Linked DNA regions of Sus scrofa. The protein of the gene in region 3 interacts with the protein of the main gene of each other region in a pairwise test. Links are inferred from orthologs where the notes say so. Each region holds a gene or a part of one and is shown on either strand. Other genes may lie near its edges. The genes, in order: RASSF1, EGFR, AKT1, PPL and ARNT.

Region 1 (4,075 bases), on a different chromosome or scaffold from region 3:
TCCGTGACACTTTCATTCCTACTGGAGCCTGTCTGACGTCAACAGGAAGTAAGGCTGATGCAATGGGACCAAGGGAGTTTGGCGGAAGCCCTGGTACATACTCCACCCTTCTGACAAGAATCCAGTCCCTGGAGGAACAGGGGAAGGGCTGAGTGGTGGAGCTAAAATCTTTGGACTAAACGTCGAGGCAGCAGGGAAGAGGTGCAGAAGCCTACCTATTTGGCACTTGTGGGACAGGCTCTACCAGAAGGCTGCCCACACACCTCCAGCAGATTGGAGCCTGGCCTAAAGCCACCTTTTGTGTGGCTTGTGTCAAGATCAAATGGCATGTCACAGTGGTTTCCTCACTATGTCAGATATACAGGGCTGGCCCCAAGTCCCCCACCAGGGGGTGTTAATTGTTAACATTGTAGAGGTTGCTGTTCCCCTTCTGCCCACTGGCGGCCGAGCTCCTGGTATGCACCAGTCCCTACACCTCTCACTGTATAGAGGGTCTTGGTCAGGGCAGAGTAGCAAAGTGGATTGCCTTCTCCAGGACACGCCCTGACCCCACCCAACTAGGGTGCTGAGATAAGCTGTCCATCCTCAGAATCCCCATCCTTTTCCTAGCCCCTAGCCTCATTCATGCCTTCAGTTACCTTGGTTTCCAGGTATTCTTAGGGCCTTACCCAGTGCTAAGGTGGCTCCAGGCAGGAAGTAATAGGTTATTCTCATCAAGGCTCAAACTTTTCTTTGCTTTTTGGCCACTCCCACATCCTGTGAAAGTTCCGCGGCCAGGGATTGAATCCACAACACAGCTGTGACCCAAGCTACTACAGTAACAATGCCAGGTCTTTAACCCACTGAGCCACCAGGGAACTCCAGACCTCAAGCTTTGTTGTCACTTTCTATAGGCCACTTTTCATAGTGGTCCATCCAGGGCTCACTTCCTTTGCCTGTGACACATTACAGAGGAATGGGTTCCTTAAGAATCCTGTGTCCACACCTTCCCATCTTTCAGGATGAGCCCGTGGAGTGGGAGACACCTGACCTTTCTCAGGCTGAGATTGAGCAGAAGATCAAGGAGTACAACAGCCAGATCAACAGCAACCTGTTCATGAGCCTTGTGAGTTGACATCCTGTTTTGGAGAGGGGCAGGAACCCAGCTGTGTGCCTGATGCCCAAGGATCACAGCTGAGGTTTTCTTGGGTAGGCCCAAGCAGTGATTTATTCATACCCAGCCTAGCCCCAAGTGGGCTGGTAGCATCCAAATCTGTTCCATCTCACTTGGCACCTAGTCATGGTTTGCTTTTTCTTCTTCAGAACAAAGACGGCTCCTATACAGGCTTCATCAAGGTTCAGCTGAAGCTGGTGCGTCCTGTATCCGTTCCCTCCAGCAAGAAGCCACCCTCCTTGCAGGATGCCCGGCGGGGCCCAGGGCGGGGCACAGCTGTGAAACGCCGTACCTCCTTCTACCTGCCTAAGGATGCTGTCAAGCACCTGCATGTGTTGTCACGCACCCGGGCACGTGAAGTCATCGAGGCCCTGCTGCGCAAGTTCTTGGTGGTAGATGATCCCCGCAAGTTTGCGCTCTTTGAGCGGGCTGAGCGCCATGGCCAAGGTGGGCTTCCCACTCCACCCCACCCCATCATGTCTGAAAGTAAATGTGCTTGTGCATGCAGCAGCTGAGGGGACTGGGCCTGACTAATCAAACACTCCCGTCCCCCTGCCTGGTCCTCAGTGTACCTCCGGAAGCTATCAGATGATGAGCAGCCCCTTCGGCTCCGGCTCCTCGCAGGGCCCAGTGAGAAGGCCCTAAGCTTTGTCCTGAAAGAAAATGACTCTGGGGAGGTGAACGTGAGTATACAGCCATCCTTAGTTTCTTGGTTGTCACTGGGCAGGACTGGTGAGTTGCAGCTACAGTAGCCCTGCAAGACCTCTCCCAAGAGTATTTGAAACTTGTAGCTAAAGTGACACTCATGCCAAGGTCTAGGGCCTAACTCAAGAAGCCAGGAAGAAATGTCTTTGTGCTCTGCTCTTTCCCATTGTGGAAAGCCCTCCGGTGATGCAGGAGTCCCATTCTACAGTGTGGTGGTCAGATCAAAGTCACACAGATGGGCACAGGATGACATGGAGGCACCCCCTTCAGGCATTAGAACTTTTTACCTGGAATCTTTCTAGCTCCAAGGTAGTACACAGGCAGAGTGAGATTTAACTCAGAGAGAGTGGGTATGATTATCCACAGGTAACTGGGGAACATTTGGCTTGGCTGCCTGTCCACGAGGTGACCGCCCTACTTTGTGGGGCCCATCTTGTATGTGGATTGTCGTTGGAAATCCTAGCAGAGGCCATCAGGCAAGAAGCCGACTTTAGAAAGCCCCATCCCAGCTGTGTGATCATGATGCTCTGGTCTTTTCTGGGGAGGGCTTGCTGGCTTGTTGGTGTGTGCTGCAGCCTGTGTCTCCCCCCCTCTACAGTGGGATGCTTTCAGCATGCCTGAACTACACAACTTCCTACGCATCCTGCAGCGGGAAGAAGAGGAACACCTCCGCCAGATCCTGAAGAAGTACTCCTATTGCCGCCAGAAGATCCAGGAAGCCCTGCATGCCTGCCCCCTGGGGTGACCTCTTGTACCCCTGGGGTGACCTCTTGTACCCCTGGGTGGAAGGAGGAGAGTAGGCAGCGCCAAGGGCGTGCCGTGTGAGTGTGCGAAGGCCCATGTGGCCTGAGGAATGAATGTGCATGGAGGCCCTCTCTTGCTGGGGGAATGAGCCCAGAGAACAGCGAAGGAGCTGGTCCCCTGTGTCCACAAGTGGGTGTAACAGAGCATGGCTCTGCACCCTTCTGCCCTTCATGTACTGGGTCATGGTGGGCCAGGGTTGCCCTGGGAAGCTGCTCCAGGGTTGCCAATGGGGCTGGAGCAGACAGAAGTCTACTTAATTTGTATCTTAGATACAAGAATCTTTGAGATCCTACAAACAAATAATAGGGTCATGTTTGCAGGGATGAGGGCCCTCATCTATGGTGAAAGATTGTGTTTTAAGTCTTGGATAGGGTCTCAGGACAGCCCTGTCACAACCAAGGATGGATATTCTAGGCATCAAGGAAGTCTAGGATTCTCTCTGTAGCACCCTCTGACTCCTCAGACACTCTGGGGTCAGGTAGTGCTAGCTCATGGTGCAGCAATGGTGCCTCAGTGCCTCCTCCAAGGAGGATGTCCCTGGGTCAGGGTTTGTGTGTGGGCACTGGCCCACCTCTGTGCCTTGTTTGCCAGTCAAAGCCAGGGTCTTTCCCTTGAGTATTTTTGATGATGTGTGCGAATGTATGTAATATTTTGTGACCTCAGCTCACTGCCTCCTGTTGGGAAAGGGGTCGGGGTGAAGGGCATCAGGGCCTGGGGCTTGAGAGAATTGGCTGAATAAAGATTTAAGCATTCTGCTTTTGGATTCTTTTACGGGCCCTCATCTGCAGTTGCCCCTCATGCCAGTGGCTGCCAAGATTGACAGACAGCCTCATAAAGCACCTTTTCCACGGGGACCATGAGACCAATTTGTGAAGGTTGTGCGATATGGATATGTACTTGGTCATTAGTCAACACCTGGGAGCTCAGGGCATGGTAGAGGCAAGAACATCAGCTGTGGCCGGAGCTTAGGGAAACCACACACTTCGCCAAATATTCAGACACTGGTGTGGAGCAGACACTGCTTATGGGACCGAAGGTACAGATGTTAACCTTCATGAAGCATGGTTTTTGGTGGGTTTAGAAAGAACACGATTTGAAGTTCTTCAGTCCTGAATGTAGCCATACAACCACTGGCCAATTCTCCTTAAGTTCGGTATTTTCTCCGCATGCCACGGTGGGAATAGCAAACAGCGTGGGAATACAATGAGGCCAGAGAGGCACTTCCCAGCCTGGCCTGAAGTCAGGCCCTAAAGTGCTGGTTTGAGAGGACCTGGTGGTTGGACGGGTCCGCTGAGCCTGACTTCTAGGGGTTGTGGACGTTTACGCCGCCACACACATCGAAGAAGCCAGGAGCACACCGCCACAGGTTTCTTGTGTGGGAGCGGCCCCAGGTGGAGGGAGCGTGGCCTGCTG
Region 2 (4,220 bases), on a different chromosome or scaffold from region 3:
GTGTAAAAAGTGTGACGGGCCCTGCGGCAAAGGTGGGAAGCTGTGCAGGCGGCCACGGTCACGGCCACAGCCACAGCCGGGCCTCCTGCCCCTGGGCCTCATACTCCTGCCCCACGAGAGCTGAGAGGTTGTCCTGGCGCAGAAAGGGGACCCTTCCTGGGCGCCGGCCTTGGGCACCCTTGACGCAGTCCGTCCCTGCTCACCTTTGAGCTTTTGTCTTGGAACCCGAAGATGTTAAAACGTCCAGGAGTGTTGCAGGAACGTGGTGAATGCCCCGTGGCCTTGGCGGTGCCCGGCAGCCGCCTCGTCGCTCGCGCTCTGTCCGGGCGTGTGTGTCCGGGTGTGTGTGTGCCTGCGTGGTGTGCGTGTTTCTGCCCCGTAGTGATTACCGCTGTCACCCTCGCCCCTCACACACTCATCAGCCTGCTTTCCTACAAACTGGACCGTCTCACCCTCATCCTGAGTTTAGCATCGACTGAGTATGATTCTGTTCTCACTTTAATTCCAAGCCTGCCGTCCCAGTGTGTCCTTTTTAGCTGCTTTTGCTGCAGAATCCAAGCCAGGGCTGCGGGGTCGCTGCTCTTGCTCACTTCTGGGCAGGGTCTCTGCCCCCATCCCCTTTCTCTCACGGGACCTGAAGTGAGGCGTCCAGGCTGGTTGAGCTTTTCCTGCAGGTGGGACCCAGGTGACGTACTGCGGGCAGAAGTGTCGACCACGTGGCCCAGCCATTTCATCCTGTCTCCATGATGATAAATTGGATCATTTCTTGGTGGTTATAAAGATGGTTTTCCATATCTGTCATTCCTTCTGCATTTATTAGCTGATATTCTTTTTCGCAATAGTTTCTAGTGGCCAGGTAAGGTCACCGGATCTTTTCTTACTCACTCTACGGTCACCCCTCTTTATCACGCTCGGTCTGTCTCCCGTGTGCCCCACCCCCCGCTGGCCCCATGTCCTCGGGGCACGTGCCGCGTCTAGATCGTGACTTCCCTCCTTGCTTCAGCTCCGTGTGTCCCGGAACTGCATTCCTGCGAGGCTGGCCCATACTTTATCTAGCCAGCCTCCCTCAGGATGGTCATTTACACTGCGTCCACGCTTCCGCTGTTGTAAAAACACCTCTGTGACTAGCTGTTTGCCTTGAACACCCACTTGAGATGAACTTTCCCTAAAAAGTGTCTGCGGTTTAGTCGATGCTCTTACCTGTCACTCGCCGAATCCGTCCAGCCCCTCTAGGTCTGTGCTGTTACCCCCCATCTTACAGATGAGGCCCTGAGTCACAGAGAATCGAGAAGACCTGCCCGGGGCGACAGCCAGGACGGGCAGAGTCAAGCTGTGACGCCTCAGTCCCAGGCCAGACCCATGAGCCGGGCTGTGGCCTCCTGGTCTAGGGACACCTGTGTGGCAGGTGGGCCTGTGCCTGGAGGGAGGAGCATCCTTTGGTGGCCGGAGACCTCTGGGCAGAGGGCACGTGGAAGGAGGACAATACGAATGGGAGTAAAAGAGCTGAGCAGGGAGAGAGGGTTCCTAGCAGCATCCTCACGTGGATCGGTAAAATCAGACATCGTTTTGGTTTTGTTCTGTTAACTTCGTGTTCATTTCTCCTGCAGTCATTATGCTCCATTTTCTACCCTCCCTGGTTCTCATCCTGGAGAGAGCAGTGGCCGACTCAGATCCCGTGGAGTGAGGGCAGTGCCACTGCATTGGGGGGGGGCAGGAAGACAGGCAGGACAGGGGTGTGTGTTGAGAGTCCACAGCTTCTGCAGATCTGATAGGTCCAGGGCGACTGTGTGATTTATCTCCAGATTTAGGGATTACGGTAACCCTGCCACTGTCACCGTCAGACGTGAGCAGAGAGGGAGAGTGAATATTCTCCCAAATGCGTGGCATTCTCTTCCACAGCTGTGGCTAAACAGCGCTTGTGTTGCTGAAGCCTCCTTGCTGTTGATAGGGAAACCCTTGGAACCCCAAATCTGTTGCATTCCAAAGCCGCCAAGTGTTAGATGCAGCACGGGGCGGGCCTGGGGGTGGCTGATGGGATGGGGCCCACAGCCAGGTTGCAACCCAGGGTCTCCTTGCAAGTGGCAGGAGATGGAGCAGCAGGACGTGACCGCGTCCCTGGGAAGTTGGGTGGTGGGGGGCTCATCCTGAATGAAGAAATTTTCAGTGATTGCCGTTCAAAGGGGGATAAAATCTGAAAGAGAGCTAACAACTGCACTGAAGGTAAAGCCAAAGCAGATGAACGTGCTGTGGATGACAGTGGCACTTGGGATGGAAATTCAGGGGCGGATAGAAATTAGCGCATGGGCTCAGAGTGTGGAAACAGCGTCGGGAATGGTGCCGCAGCGGGACACAGACCAGAGCACACAGTTTCTGTGGCGCCAGTAAACACTGTGGAATAAAAGCTGTGTTTCTGATGAGCGTTACCACAGTATTATTCCTCATGACGTGACATCACACAGCCATGAAAATCCATGTTGTGAATGGTTCTAATGATGGGACAAATGTTCACAGCCCAGTAAGTGAACACGACAAGCCAGCCCCACATCTAGTGTGACATAACCATGGGGGAGAACTAGAAGGAAAGTTCTCAAAATGTCAAAGGTACATAGTAGAATTGCTGGTCATTTTGTTCCTCTCCATTCTGTGTTTTCACATTTTCTTAAACAAATGCTTCTTACTCTTTTAATAAAACCCAGTCTGCATACTGTCTCCGTTAGAAGGCCGGGCGTCACCCCGGGTGAGGGCAAGGGCACTGCTGCGGCTTTAGCGGGGGCGCCAGCCAAGGGCCAGCACAGTGCAGCATCCGCCCCGTGGGGCCGCCGTCTGGAGAGGAAGCGGGGCCCTTAGGAGCACCTGACCTCTGGCCCAAGTGGGAAAGTGAGGAGGAGAAGGCAGGTCTGGTGAGGGCACTCCCGTCAGGACCGCAGCCCAAGCCCCGGTCCGGTCCCAGTCCCAGTGCTGGAACCCAGCAGCCCAGCAGTGTCAGCGGAGCGAACGCGGGACCGCGGGGCGGCCATGGTCCCACGGCTGTGCCCTGCCGCCTCCTCCCTGCCTTGGGAGCCCTCGGTCGTCTTCATTTCACAAATGTGAAGGGAACAATCGCCTCCCTTGTCTTTACAGTTTGTAACGGGATAGGGATTGGCGAGTTTAAAGACACACTTTCCATAAATGCTACGAATATCAAGCACTTCAGGAACTGCACCTCGATCAGCGGAGATCTTCATATCCTGCCGGTAGCATTTAGGGGGTGAGTACAGCTGACGTCAGGACCTTCTGGAGAAAAGCGGGATCCGCTTGGCTCCCTGCAGGCCCTTATGGATCCTCTGTGGCCTGTTTCAGTGACTCCTTCACACGCACGCCGCCTCTGGACCCCAAGGAACTGGACATCCTGAAAACCGTGAAGGAAATAACAGGTGTGCCGCTAACCTGCCGTCTTAGCACACGTGGGAGGCAGGTGTTTTACAGGGAGAACTTTTAGGCGATTTTCTCTTCCCTTGCCATTAGCGAGTAATTCATTCTTTGATATTTTTCAAAACCGCGGCTCCCCGTGCTCTCAGGAGGCAAACTCTCTAAGCAGAGTCGAGTCACCTGGGACTCGGTGTGACGTGCGAGGTCTCAGCGCCCAGCCCAGGTGGCCGGTCAACAGCCCGGGATGGAGGGCGGAGGGCCAGGCACTGAGCTGCTGCGGGCTCCCAGCCCAGAGACACGTGTCCTGTCCTGCCCCAACACCGGCCTTGGGCCCGGGGCCCGGCAGCTCCACTTTCTTCATCCCTAAAAAAGGTGTAACTGGACTTTATAACAGGATTGGCTTGAGAATTGGAACCAGATAGAGATTTCACGTCAGTCTCCTTGTGGCGCTAAAGCTCAGAACTGGCCCCTGCCTTAGAGAGCAGCGGCCTGTTTGGGGTCTCAAGAGGGGAGCTCCCACCGTGGGTACAGCCTGCGGGGCGAGTCGGGCTCTAGCCCAGGGCAGCAGGGGGCTTGTTGTAAAGGGTGCCTGGTGCGTGTGGCTCTGTGTGTGTGTGTGTGTGTGTGTGTGTGTGTGTGTCTGCAAGTGCTTAGTGAGGAGGATGAGGAGAACAAAACATTCGCCGTCTGCTCCTGGACAGCCTCCCGAGAATCCTGTGACAGTGTTTCTTAGGAAAAGGGAATTGCTAAATGGCCTGCATCTTTCTCCTGCCTTACAGGGTTTTTACTGATTCAGGCCTGGCCTGAAAACA
Region 3 (3,568 bases):
GAGATGATGTGCGGCCGCCTGCCCTTCTACAACCAGGACCACGAGAAGCTCTTCGAGCTCATCCTCATGGAGGAGATCCGCTTCCCGCGCACGCTCAGCCCCGAGGCCAAGTCCCTGCTCTCAGGGCTGCTCAAGAAGGACCCCAAGCAGCGGTGGGCGCCCCCTCCAGCCGCGGGCTCAGCCCCGGGGGCCCCAGGGAGGCTGCCTGTCCCCCGCTGCCCGAGACCTCGTGGGGGAAGGGCCGAGCTCTGGGCCGGGCAGGAGGCAGCCCCCGTCACCATGGCCTCGTCTCCCCCAGGCTCGGCGGGGGCTCTGAGGATGCCAAGGAGATCATGCAGCACCGTTTCTTCGCCAGCATCGTGTGGCAGGATGTGTATGAGAAGAAGGTGCGTGGGGGCCTGTGGGCCGGCCCCCCCCAGCCACACCCTTACTCAGGCTCTCACCTCCACCCCCACACGGTGGCACACCTGCACACACACGCTTACACGCACATCCACTCACACACCTGCTCCCACCCCCACCCCTGCTGGCACACCTGGTCTCACACACCCTACACCTGCACACACACAGGCTCACACCTGCTCACACACCTGCACACACACACCTGCTCACCCACACGTGAGGAGGCCCCTGAGGAGCGAGGCAGCTTCTTCCTAAACATGTGCCTCTGCCCGTTGCCTCTGAGGGACTCGGGAGCCCCAGGCCCTGGCCCAGCAGGCTGGGGGCAGGAGGGGGATGTCCCCGGGCTCGTTGACGTCCTGTCACAAGCACACCTCGCCCCCATTTCCAGTCTCCCTCGCCTGCAGGCCACACGCAGCCGGCTGGGCCTCTAGCCCCTGAGAGATGGGTGCCCCACCCTGCTCAGCTCCAGGCCAGGGGCCTGCCCTCTGGGGGCTGCAGTGCCCACCCTGTTGGTCCCTGCTAGTTCCCAGGGCAGCCCCACCCCCAGGCCAGGGCCCTGGTGGGGGTGGGGTGGGGCGCTTGCTTCTCCCCCCAGCCTGGCCCCTTACACTTGGCCTCTCATTCCGCGTCGTTGGGAGTCCTGCCTGTGGCCACGCTCAGGGCCACTCTGCTACCCGGGAGCTGCGAGTGAGGCACCAGACTCCCTCCGGTGGACCCCTGAAGGACCAGGCCCCCCGAGGGGAAGCGGGCAGGGGAGGGCGGGGCCCCATCCACATCTCCTGGGCGGGGCTTGGGCATCGCATCCCCCTCCCTCCCCAGGGCACCTGGTGGGGTTGGCACAGGCCCTGGGCAGGGGGCAGTGGCCGGCTGCTCCGGGGCCCCCTCCCGGGTGGCAGTGGGCCCCCGAGCCCTGCCCTCCCCTTGTCTGGCATTAGCCTCTGCAGCCTGGGCCTGCCGGCGGTTTCTGAGACACCCGGAAAGGAAAATAGGAGCGCTGGAGAAAGAAAAGTGGCCAGGGCCCCTTCTGCCCCGGGGGTGGGGTCCTCGGAGCTGGGCTGCACTGCCTCCTATCACCTGCAGGGGCGCCGTGACACTGCTTGCGGGCTCTTGGTTGAGGGGCACCCACCTAGGCCCTAGGTGGGTCCCCTCCTGTGCAGGTCTCCTTCCAGAACTCTGCCTGTGGGTGGGGACGGCTGCCTGGACACCGTCCCCTGGGAGACAGGAGTCATTTCCCAAGCCAGGGGCACAGCTCCCTGGGGGCCGTGGTCCGGGCGGGTCCGGGTCTGTAACCCAGCCCCCCTTTCCGCAGCTCAGCCCACCGTTCAAGCCTCAGGTCACGTCCGAGACGGACACCAGGTATTTCGACGAGGAGTTCACGGCGCAGATGATCACCATCACGCCGCCCGACCAAGGTGAGGGCCGCGCCTTCCCCTCCGCTCCCCCGGGCGCGCGCGCGCACCATCCCTCGGCGCTGCCCTCGGTGGGAGGCCGGCCGTCCAGCGGCCCTCGGGAAGGCTGCCTTTGGGGGGTGGCGGCCGCGGCAGGAGGGCCTCGCGGGGCGAGGAGGCGAGCCTGCCGGGCGCTGGGGTCTCGCTGGTGCCCGGGCTCTGAGCCGCCCCGCGCGTGCCCGCAGACGACAGCATGGAGGGCGTGGACAGCGAGCGGAGGCCTCACTTCCCCCAGTTCTCCTACTCGGCCAGCGGCACGGCCTGAGGCGGCCAGCCGGGCGCGCTCTCCGGACGACGGCTTCGAAGGGAGGCGGGAAGCCGCGCTCGGACCTCCTGTATTTAATGGGTTTTGTTTCTGGACGCGTTTGGGCCGCACCGGGCTGCTCCTCCCACCAGGGATGCGCGGCTCGCGCTGTGGCGGCTGTGGCGGGGGCTGCCCGCCCGGCCCCGGGCCGCCTCCCCAGCCTCCAGCCGGGCCGGGAGGAAAACGCCCTGCAGTTTTTCCTAATTTATTCATCCGGTTCTCCAGGCGCGGCCACGCGCCGCGCGCTCTCGGGCCGGGTGGGCCTCGCCCGCGCTCCCGGCCGCACCGACTCGGCCCGGAAGCAAGCCGGGCCAGGAGCGCCGGCCGGGGCCTGGCCGGGGCTGGAGGCGGGCGGCCCCTGCGTGGGGCTGGGCCGGGCGAGATCCTGCTCTGTTCACGCGCGTCCTGGGGGCTTCATCTCAGAAGGAAGCCCCCCTCTGCCCCTGCCCGTTGGGACCATCCCATCCGATGGCTCCCCTGGTTAGCAATTGTCCTCATAGAAGCTTCACCCTCCCGCTGTCGCCGCGGCCCCGCCCCACGCCCTTTGCAGGGGCCATCGCTCCGCCCTCCGGCCAGACGCTACGCTGCACCACGGCGGTTTTTTATATTCAACTTTAGTATTTTTACTATTATGAGACTTTCCCTCCAAATTCCTCAATAAAACTTGCTTTTCAACTCCGTGGCTTGTTTAGTTAGGTGGCCGGCCCACTGGTGTGGAGGGCCCTGTCCCTCCTGCCTCGCGGTCCCGAGGGCAGCCTACGAGGATAGGTGTCCCCCACGCAGCTCTGGCAGGACTCGGTGGCTTCGCCCCAGTCCCACGCCCCGAGAAGGCCACCCAGACTGCACGGCCACCTGCGCACCAGCCCTGTCCATCCAGCAGATCCTGGTCACGGGGAAGGACCGGGACCCTGAAGGGCCCAGAGCTGGCCAAGGTCGAGACAGGGCCACCGCCAGGCCCTGGGACCTGAGGAGGTGCGAAAAAGCAACCTGCGGGGGGGAAGGCGTTACCCAGGTGCCCCGCCCTAGGACCCGCGCCGAGTCTGGCGGCACGGGAGGGCAGGACGTGCCGCGGGCGCCACCTGGTGGGCGCGGAGAGGAACCAGCTGCCCAGCACGAGCCTGCTGCTCTTCCTGTCCCTGGTGGACTCAACCTCGCAGGTGTGGCCAGGACGCGGGGACCGTCACAGGGCACGACGTTTGCCGGACCTGGCGCCCGGGCCTGGGGGAGGGGGCAGAGCTGCCTGTCTCCCCAGGCTCCGCGGCAGCTGATTCTGACCATAAGGCCTTGGGGTGGGGCGGCTGCAAGGAGCATGGGGCCGAGGGCATCCAGAGCAGCCTGGTTCTCCGCCGGGTGGTCCCTCACTACCTCCGTTTTGACAGGCTCCAGGACACAGCTTTTGGGGATACCCAAACCA
Region 4 (4,220 bases), on a different chromosome or scaffold from region 3:
GCAGTGGAACAGTGGGTGCTGGATGTTTTCACCACCCATGAGGCCCCGGCCACTGCATCTGAGCTCCTAGGCCGGCGCCCCAGACCCCCAGCCAGGCTGCCCGGGGAGAGGGTCCTGGGGGAGGAGGTCCTGGGGGAGGGGAGCTGCCAGCTGTGACCAACGCCAGGGGCTCTGGTCCCCACAGAACATCACCAACGAGCTGCTGCGGATCGAGCCCGAGAAGGTGCGCAGCACAGCAGAGGGCGAGGCGTTCGTGCGGGCCCAGCCCAGCAGCAGCAGCGCAGCCCTGCTGAGGACACGGGTGGAGGACACCCAGCGCAGATACGAGCGCCTGGTGCAGCTGCTGGCTGCGGCCCAGGAGAAGTGAGCACGGTGGGCGGCAGGGAGGCCAGGCAGCGGGGCCAAGGGCCTGGCTCCCCCTCCAACTCCTGACTCGCATCCTCAGGGTCGACACGGCCAACCGCCTGGAGAAGAGCCTGCAGCAGGGCTGGGAGGAGCTGGCCACGTACGAGAACCTGCTGGCCCAAGAGGACACGGTGCCGGAGTGTGGCCATGCCCTGGACAGCAAGAGGCAGGAGCTGGCGGTGAGCGTGGGGACCCATCTGAGCTGGTCGTGGGCTCCAGGTGCCCGCCTCTCCCAACCCCTCCCTTGCGGACAGTTGAAGGCCCGAGGCCCAGGGCAGGGAAGTCTCTGCAGGTTTGAAGTTCCAGCCGCACACGGGGTCTGCAGACATCGGGTGGTACCTTAAAATCAAATATCCACGTACCGCGCAACCCCAAATTCCCAGTATCTCTCGAAGAGCAGATCTGGCCCTGGGCCCACAAAGCAGGTGTGCTGAGCAGAGGAGCCTGTGCCCTCTTCACATTTGCCACTGGGCTGCTCTGAGCTCCGGGGCCTGAGCCCGTGGGAGCCTCATGTTCACACGCCGGCTCACCGAACCCTTGGCTTTGTGCTGAGCGCCTCACCTCAGAACCCAGGAGTGGGCTCGGAGAGCAGAGCCTCAGCCCAGGCTGTTCCCGGCCTGGCGTCACAGATAAGCACAGCGGGCCACAGGGTTTTAGAAGTTAGTTTTTCTAGGGTGTTGTCCATTGTAACAAAAAGGGAATTTCAGAAACGACCACAGGTTTGAGGAGGAACGAAGAGTCAAATCCCCGGCTCCTGCCAAGGCCCAGGCTTACCACCCGCGAAGCGGGCAGCTCTGGGCCCTGGAGTTCTGGCCACAGCACCTACTATCTGCCTCTCTGCCCTGACAGGCCCTGGCCTCTGAGCTGCAGGCCCGGAAAGCCCTCCTCGGCGAGGTGGAGCAGAACCTGCAGGCAGCCAGGCAGTGCTCCAGCTCGCTGGCCAGCCGCTTCCAGGAGCACTGCCCGGACCTGGAGCGCCAGGAGGCGGAGGTGCACAAGCTGGGCCAGCGCTTCGACAACCTCCGCCAGCAGGTTGAGCTCAGGTGCGGGGCCGTAGGGGGGTGACAGCCTTGGCTTAGCTAGTCTGCCTTAAGGCACCAATGTGGCATTTCTGTGGATGCCTCCAAAAGTGGTTTGTTTTCTGAATACCTCTTTTTGAAAATAAGCAGTACATATACAAAGTGACAAACACAAGGTGATTGTACAGCCAACCTTCCCCTTAAGATCAGCTCTGCTGACAGTCTGTTCCTATCCTTCCAACACTATTTTGAGATCAGGAGCAGGTAGATATATCATTTGAATGACAACATGCCACCCAGTGTCCCTTGCTGTCTTCCCTGTCCTGTTTTGCCAGCCTCAGGAGTCAGTGTTCCTGCTGGTGCTTCTCTTCTGGAAGAGGCCGTGTCGAATGGCTGTCAGGGTCTTAAACGCTTGGTAGAATTCACCCACCAGTCACTGCCATCTGGGCCCGCAGCTTATTCTTTTCTGTGTAAGGTTTTTTAACTACAAATTCCACCTCTTTAATAGATGATGAACTATCTGACTCACTTAATTCTTGAGTTGTCTTCAGAGGTATGTGTCTTTCAGGGACACACTGTCCCTCTCCAGTTGTGGACTTTAGTGGTACGAAATTGTTCAGAATATCCTCTTATCCTTCAATGTCTGCATATCTGGGGGATGTCCTCTCTCTCCTGACGTCGTGTCTTCTTTTCTGTGTTTTCTTTTTTCCCCTAGCCATTCTGCCTGACGTGAATCAATCTGTTGACTTTTTCAAAGAATCAGCTTTGGTTTGGGGGATCCTTCTGAGTTGTTTCTTACTTCCTATTTCATTGACATCTGCTCATTATTATTTGGTCCTGCTGCTTAACATTAGCTTCAATCTGCTGTCTTTCATCCTAAGCTTCTGCTTAGACTGTTGATTTCAGAGCTTTACTTTTCTAATCTAAGCATTTAAAACTACATATTTCCCACTGAGCACTGCTTTCACGGCGTCCCACGGATTTCTTTATTCTTGGTGAGTTCAAAAGATTTCCTCACCTCCCTTCTGATTTCTGCTTGGATCCACGAGCTGTTTAGGTCCTAGATCCACAGTGGGCAGCCCCGTGCAGTATTCCAGCCCCACCTTCCGTAATTCACCTGACCCCTCCCTTCCTGGTGAGCGTTTACGTTATTTCCAGATAAACCATTTGGGGAGTTCTTTCAGAAGGGACGGCAGGCAGCCCTCAGTAGGCATTGGCTCTCTGTGCAGAGGTCTGACCGGCTTTGCCCCACAGGGCCCAGAGCCTGCAGAGCGCCCAGGCTGCTCACGATGCCTTCCGCAGTGGCCGTGACCATCTGCTCCAGTTCCTGTCCCACATCCCCAGCTACGAGCCCCAGGAGATGGACAGCCTTGGCCAGATGGAGACCAAGCTGAACAACCAGAAGGTAAGACAGCTGCCTCTAAGTTCACGGGCAGGGGGGTCAGAGGTCAGCAAGCCTCTTGGCGGATGAGGCCCAGGTGAGGTCCTGGCAGGGTGGGTTCCCAGCACAAGTCTCTGAGAACAAAGCCGGTGTCTCCCTCACCTCAGTGCCCTCCCTGCACTGGGCCTGGCTCAGAGTGGACACTCCGTGCAGGCCGGCGAAATAAGCAAATGGCCACAGAAGCACAAGAGGAGCCGTCATGGGGAAAAACGCATGTCCACAGCCCAGAGTCCTGGCTCCCCAGGAGGAAGCAGAGCCTTGGGCAGAGGAACGACAAGAGACCCACCCACCTAGGCTCAAATCTCGCTCTCACCCACACTGTTGTTGGTTTCCTCATCCAGAAACGGGATGAGGAGGGTGCTTCCTCCCAGGATGTGGGGGTTCAGTGAGAGAAGCTAAGACAGACTCTAGAACCGTAGCTGAGATTGTAACGCACTCACTAAACACTGCTTTCCTGGCAAAGATAGCTGTCCCTGGCTCTTCTTCAAAGGGACTTGGAGCTGCCTTTTGTAACAAACAAATGTAAACAAGGAACCATTCGTTACACTTTGTGCCACAGAAAAATAACTCCAGGAGTTCCCATTGTGGCTTGGTGGGCTATGAACCCAACCAGTATCCATGAGGATGCGGGTTTGATCCCCGGCCTCGCTCGCTCATTGGGTTAAGGATCCAGCATTGCCACGAGGTGCAGCAAAGGTTGCAGATAAGGCTTGGATCTGGTGTTGCTGTGGCTGTGGTGTAAGCCGGCAGCTGCAGCTCCAACTCAACCCCTAGCCTGGGAACCTCCCTATGCCACGGGTGTAGCCCTAAAAAGAAAAAGGAAAAATTTCCAAGATTCTAAGACTCCTACTCTATCGATGTTTTTTCTTTTTAAATTTTTGATTTTTTTTTTTTGGCCACAACCATGGTACGCAGAAGAGTTCCTGGGGCGGGGATCAAATCCTGGCCACAGCAGCGACCACACCGGATCCTTAACCTGCTGAATGCACAGGAACTCCTAATTTTTTATTTTTAAAGTCTCTGTTGTGTTCCAGAACCTGCTAGATGAGATAGCAAGAAGGGAACAGGAAGTACAGAAAGTCTCCACCCACTCCCAGGAGTACCAGCAAGCTGTCAAGGTGAGATGTGATAGCCCTGCGGGGAGTGCAAAGCAGCCCGGCTGGAAGGAGGTGTCCCGGGGCTGGGCCTGGGGGGCTCCTCAGGCACTGCCAGCAGTTGGCACAGCCCTTTGGGGAAACACGACAGTATTAGGCATCGAATACAGAAAAGGGTTCCTAACTGTTGAAGCAGAAACTGAGGGAATCTATGCTAAAGGAAAACAATACAGAGAAAGTAACGCAGGATAAACAAAATCA
Region 5 (4,220 bases), on a different chromosome or scaffold from region 3:
AGGATGGTCTTTATGAAAGCACATGTAGCACAGATTTTAGATGTATATATATGTAGATAGGTAGATAGCTAATCAATTTGTTCTAACAGAATACATACAGATATTGATTCAACAACTCCAGTTATGTAACTTTTGTGTGCTTCGTGCTATGAGAAATTTAAAAGAATTGTAAGAGATAGTCACTGGTAAAAACAGACATATAAATAAGTAAATCATAATATAAACAGAATCAGTTCTGTAGTAGAGGTACAGTAATAAGTCCTATAGAAGTGCAAATATGGAAAGCAAAAAATAGAATAGTGTTGCAGTATTGGAAATAATTTGATCAAAAGCATAGTGAGATTGGTGATGATTGGGTTATTCAAGGAAAATCAGGGAGTTTAGCATGTCTTGGAAGATAATAATAGGAAGGTTGACTGGGACTTGATGGAATATTTAGGTGTTATGTTAAATAATTCACATTTTAATTTTTAGTCAATGGAAAACTATAAAAAAATATGGTAGCATTTTAAGGATGGATTGGAGAGAGTGAAAACAGGGAGACCATTAGTTTTAGCATGAGATGACTTGGGCAGTGACACTGTATTTGAAAATAGAATTGTTAAAACTGAATTATCTCTGGAGTGTAAGAGAGAGTAGTTACATTTTTGAGGCCTATAGCCTTAGAGAAAGGGGATACTTTTTGGAGGGGAAGATAATGAGATGTTAAAATTGAATTTCTGATAGAATATCTATTTGGAAATCCTTAATAGATTTTAGGCAAGTTTAGAGATGTAGACTTGGGTATTGTTTCATAGTGGAGAAGTAGAGATGATTTCTCAGGGAGAAAGTATGTATTAAATAGAGAAGAGAACTTAAGATAGAACCTTGGAAATGCCTACACTTGAGACTTAAACAAAGGAAAGAGAGCCTGAAGCAGAGAAGGGACATTTGGAAAGGAAATAAAAGTTGGAGTGTGGTGTCTTAGAAGCTAAGGAGAAATAAATTTTAAAGGCTAAAATGAACAACACTATCAGATTCTGTAGCAAGATTGGTATAGAGCCCAGGAAAGAGGGCTTGAGTTGTCAGTTAGGAAGATGTTAGTAACCTGAAAAAAACATGAATGTTGTAGCTTAGAGAGGATGACAGTGGGATGGAGAAATAAATGAAAGATTAAGTAGAGCCAGTGAGTGTAACATTATTCTTAGTTTAAGCTTGGCCCTGAAAGTTGAGTTGGGCAAAGTTGAGGGATGATGTGTCTAAAATTGAGAAAACTTGATCATGTTTAAGATACCAGGGGAAAGAGAGAGAAATGGGAATATTCGTAGAGCAAGATCCTAAAAAGAGACGAGAGAGGGTGAGTTTAAGAACTCAGTTATTGTTAGTGGTAAGCCTTTTTATTCCCTATCTTGAGTTCTCAGGGTTTTTTGGTGGTGGTTTTGTTTTTGGCTTTCCCGAGTCATATGGAGTTCCTCAGCCAGGTTCCTGAGCCACAGTTGCTAATTGCCTACACTGCAGCTGTAGCAACACTGGATCCTCTAACCCGCTGTGCAGGGCCAGGGAATATGTGTCCTGATGCTGCAGAGATGCTGTTGATCCCATTGTGCCACATCGGGAACTCCTCCCATCTTGAGTTCTGAGGAGGAGGTGGCTGGTGACGTAGACACACTGAGGAAATATCTGTTGGAAAAAACTATCTTGTCAGTTAAGGTGATTACATTTAGGGTGCAAAGCTGTGCCTGTGGATCAGACAGAAGCCAGCATTTGCTTATGGAGAGATACATATGGCTTTAAGTGTCTTACTTCTTTCCATTTTTGGTTTTTTCTGACTTCAGTATTGAGTTGTATTTCTCTTCTTTGGACAGGAACTGAAACATTTGATCTTGGAGGCAGCAGATGGCTTTCTGTTTATTGTCTCATGTGAAACAGGCCGGGTGGTGTATGTCTCCGACTCAGTGACCCCTGTTTTGAACCAGCCACAGTCTGAATGGTTTGGTAGCACGCTTTACGATCAGGTGCACCCAGATGATGTGGACAAACTTCGTGAGCAGCTTTCCACTTCGGAAAACGCCCTGACAGGTATGAGTTATGTGGATGGAAAATGAATGGGAAGTCCTTTCTTCTTTTTTTCTGAGACAGAAGACGTGTTTTTAACTCTAAATTTTTTTATTGAATCTGGCAAAGCTTATAGAATTTTCTCCATTAATGAATGTAATTGTTCTTTTATCCATATGCAGGTAATATGTTTTGTAGCTCATCCTTAGAAAATGTGCATTAATGACAATGCTCATATAAAGTTTAATCTTAATATTAGTATAATTACACAGTAAAAGCCAAACCTACGATGCCCCCTCATTATAAAAGAGTTAAATTATCCATGTTTCTGTATCATTTGTGTAGGTACTTGCCTAGTATTTTTTTTTTACCCACTTATGCTTGGCTTTGTACCAGGTTCTGTGGTAATAGATTTTCGTTTTAGAGGGAAGTGGTTTTCAGTCAGTGTATAAGGGTTTTTTGTTTTTTGTTTTTTTTGTTTTTTTGCTATCTGTGCTATTTTTCTGTTTTGTCTTTGTCCCAACCCTGTTTGCCCCTCCCCCAATTTAGTGTTATTCAGTCCTTTTGCCAGAGTTTGGCTAAAGGAAAAAAGTCACATCTGCTCCCAAGCAATCTGGAAAAAATTTTAATGTGGAAGCAAATTAAACAATCAATTAAATCCATTATGGTCATATTAATTTTTTAAAAAATTACTTAATGAATTTTATTACATTTATGGGTGTACAACAATCATCACAACCAAATTTTACAGCATTTCCATCCCAAATCCTCAGAGCATCCCTTCACCCCCCAACCTGTCTCATTTGGAATGGTCATATTAATGTTGATATTTAACTTTCCCTTCATTTATGTTTTTATGGATTTCATTTTTCTAGTTCTTCTTTTTCCCCAAAAGTTCTCGTTGGTTTCTATATAATAAAGGGAGGAACACTTTTAGCATGAGACAGGTGGCTGTTTCTATAACATATAAAATTGTTTTTATCTATTTATTTATTGATCTTTTTAGGGTCGCACCTGTGGCATGTGGAGGTTCCCAGGCCAGGGGGTGAATGGGAGCTGTAGCCACCAGCCTACACCACAGCTCACAGCAATGCCGGATCTTTAACCCACTGAGTGAGGCCAAGGATTGAACCCACGTCTTTGTGGATGCTAGTCAGGTTTGTTACCCACTGAGCCATGATGGGAACTCCTAAAATTGTTTTAAACCAGTGATACTCATTTCATGTTTGTGTGCATGTGCATATGAATGCATGTGTACAACATTAATCAGACCTAAGAATATATAATCTTGCTTGCCAACTCTACCTACTTCCACTCCTGTCTTCCCTTTCACAAGGTTATTTCCAGTGCTGCCTTTGAACTGAGTAGTAAGATTCATTGATGGGAATCAAGGTGCTTTAGGCTTGGGAAAAAAAAAATACATCTCCTACTTGGCTTATTCCGTCGTAAGCAAGGAGATTGGAGAGCATGAATAGGCTATGTATCTTTGCTTCCAGTATCTCTCCCCCTTTTCCCCACACACAAGAATGCATTCCAGACTGCTCTTCACATCCTTCTTCAGGGCGTATCCTTGATCTGAAGACTGGAACAGTGAAAAAGGAAGGTCAGCAGTCTTCCATGAGGATGTGTATGGGCTCAAGGAGATCGTTTATTTGCCGTATGAGGTGAGTGTCTGGAGGATTGTAATTTGCTGTAGGAAGAATTAAGAGCTGATCATCTCATTTCTGGTCAGAGGAGTTAAACTTTTAAATCCAAGCTTCGTTTAGGTAAAATTTAACTCTCAAGACCCACATGGGTTGTAACAGAATAAAGTGATAAGGAAACTAACTGAATTCTTTCTATGCCACACATTATGATAAGTACTTTGGGTCTGTCATCGCATTTCCTACAACTGTTCTGTAGGATAGAATTCATGGTTACTATTTTGCTGATTAAAAAAAAAGCCCCAAGCAAGAGTTCCCACCGTGGCTCAGCAGTAACAAACCGGACTAGTATCCATGAGGATATGGGTTTGATCCCTGGTCATTTACAGAAAAAGTATACTGACCCCCAGTAGAGAATCTGCATTTGAAGAGCATTTAGAATATTTTGACTTACAATTCTGGGACAGTTACAAGTTTTAGAAATACCAAACCTGACTTCTTTATTCTTGTTAGGAGCATTGTTAGCAATTTTCTCTGTGACAT

The links.
Region 1: the proteins of AKT1 (region 3) and RASSF1 interact in a protein complementation assay, tested with the Homo sapiens proteins (2 studies listed by BioGRID and IntAct, with this or other methods). The link is inferred for Sus scrofa from reciprocal best matches to the Homo sapiens genes AKT1 and RASSF1.
Region 2: the proteins of AKT1 (region 3) and EGFR interact in a protein complementation assay, tested with the Homo sapiens proteins (3 studies listed by BioGRID and IntAct, with this or other methods). The link is inferred for Sus scrofa from reciprocal best matches to the Homo sapiens genes AKT1 and EGFR.
Region 4: the proteins of AKT1 (region 3) and PPL interact in a two-hybrid assay, tested with the Homo sapiens proteins (2 studies listed by BioGRID and IntAct). The link is inferred for Sus scrofa from reciprocal best matches to the Homo sapiens genes AKT1 and PPL.
Region 5: the proteins of AKT1 (region 3) and ARNT interact in a protein complementation assay, tested with the Homo sapiens proteins (2 studies listed by BioGRID and IntAct, with this or other methods). The link is inferred for Sus scrofa from reciprocal best matches to the Homo sapiens genes AKT1 and ARNT.

The regions. Positions count from the first base shown.
Region 1 is NC_010455.5:32,815,496-32,819,570, reverse strand, and holds the end of RASSF1 (ras association domain-containing protein 1), read left to right. Parts: exon of another isoform or gene 1-955; coding exon of another isoform or gene 956-1,000; coding exon 1,001-1,105; intron 1,106-1,302; coding exon 1,303-1,600; intron 1,601-1,720; coding exon 1,721-1,836; intron 1,837-2,456; coding exon 2,457-2,603; 3' UTR 2,604-3,415; downstream 3,416-4,075. UniProt on the Homo sapiens protein: Potential tumor suppressor. Required for death receptor-dependent apoptosis. Mediates activation of STK3/MST2 and STK4/MST1 during Fas-induced apoptosis by preventing their dephosphorylation.
Region 2 is NC_010451.4:139,430,984-139,435,203, forward strand, and holds part of EGFR (epidermal growth factor receptor precursor), read left to right. Parts: coding exon 1-32; intron 33-3,120; coding exon 3,121-3,247; intron 3,248-3,339; coding exon 3,340-3,413; intron 3,414-4,187; coding exon 4,188-4,220. UniProt on the Homo sapiens protein: Receptor tyrosine kinase binding ligands of the EGF family and activating several signaling cascades to convert extracellular cues into appropriate cellular responses.
Region 3 is NW_018084979.1:3,039,541-3,043,108, reverse strand, and holds the end of AKT1 (RAC-alpha serine/threonine-protein kinase), read left to right. Parts: coding exon 1-152; intron 153-298; coding exon 299-386; intron 387-1,711; coding exon 1,712-1,814; intron 1,815-2,035; coding exon 2,036-2,115; 3' UTR 2,116-2,832; downstream 2,833-3,568. UniProt on the Homo sapiens protein: AKT1 is one of 3 closely related serine/threonine-protein kinases (AKT1, AKT2 and AKT3) called the AKT kinase, and which regulate many processes including metabolism, proliferation, cell survival, growth and angiogenesis.
Region 4 is NC_010445.4:37,501,786-37,506,005, forward strand, and holds part of PPL (periplakin), read left to right. Parts: intron 1-184; coding exon 185-363; intron 364-445; coding exon 446-584; intron 585-1,254; coding exon 1,255-1,448; intron 1,449-2,678; coding exon 2,679-2,829; intron 2,830-3,899; coding exon 3,900-3,983; intron 3,984-4,220. UniProt on the Homo sapiens protein: Component of the cornified envelope of keratinocytes. May link the cornified envelope to desmosomes and intermediate filaments. May act as a localization signal in PKB/AKT-mediated signaling.
Region 5 is NC_010446.5:98,367,676-98,371,895, forward strand, and holds part of ARNT (aryl hydrocarbon receptor nuclear translocator), read left to right. Parts: intron 1-1,844; coding exon 1,845-2,058; intron 2,059-3,595; coding exon 3,596-3,698; intron 3,699-4,220. UniProt on the Homo sapiens protein: Required for activity of the AHR. Upon ligand binding, AHR translocates into the nucleus, where it heterodimerizes with ARNT and induces transcription by binding to xenobiotic response elements (XRE).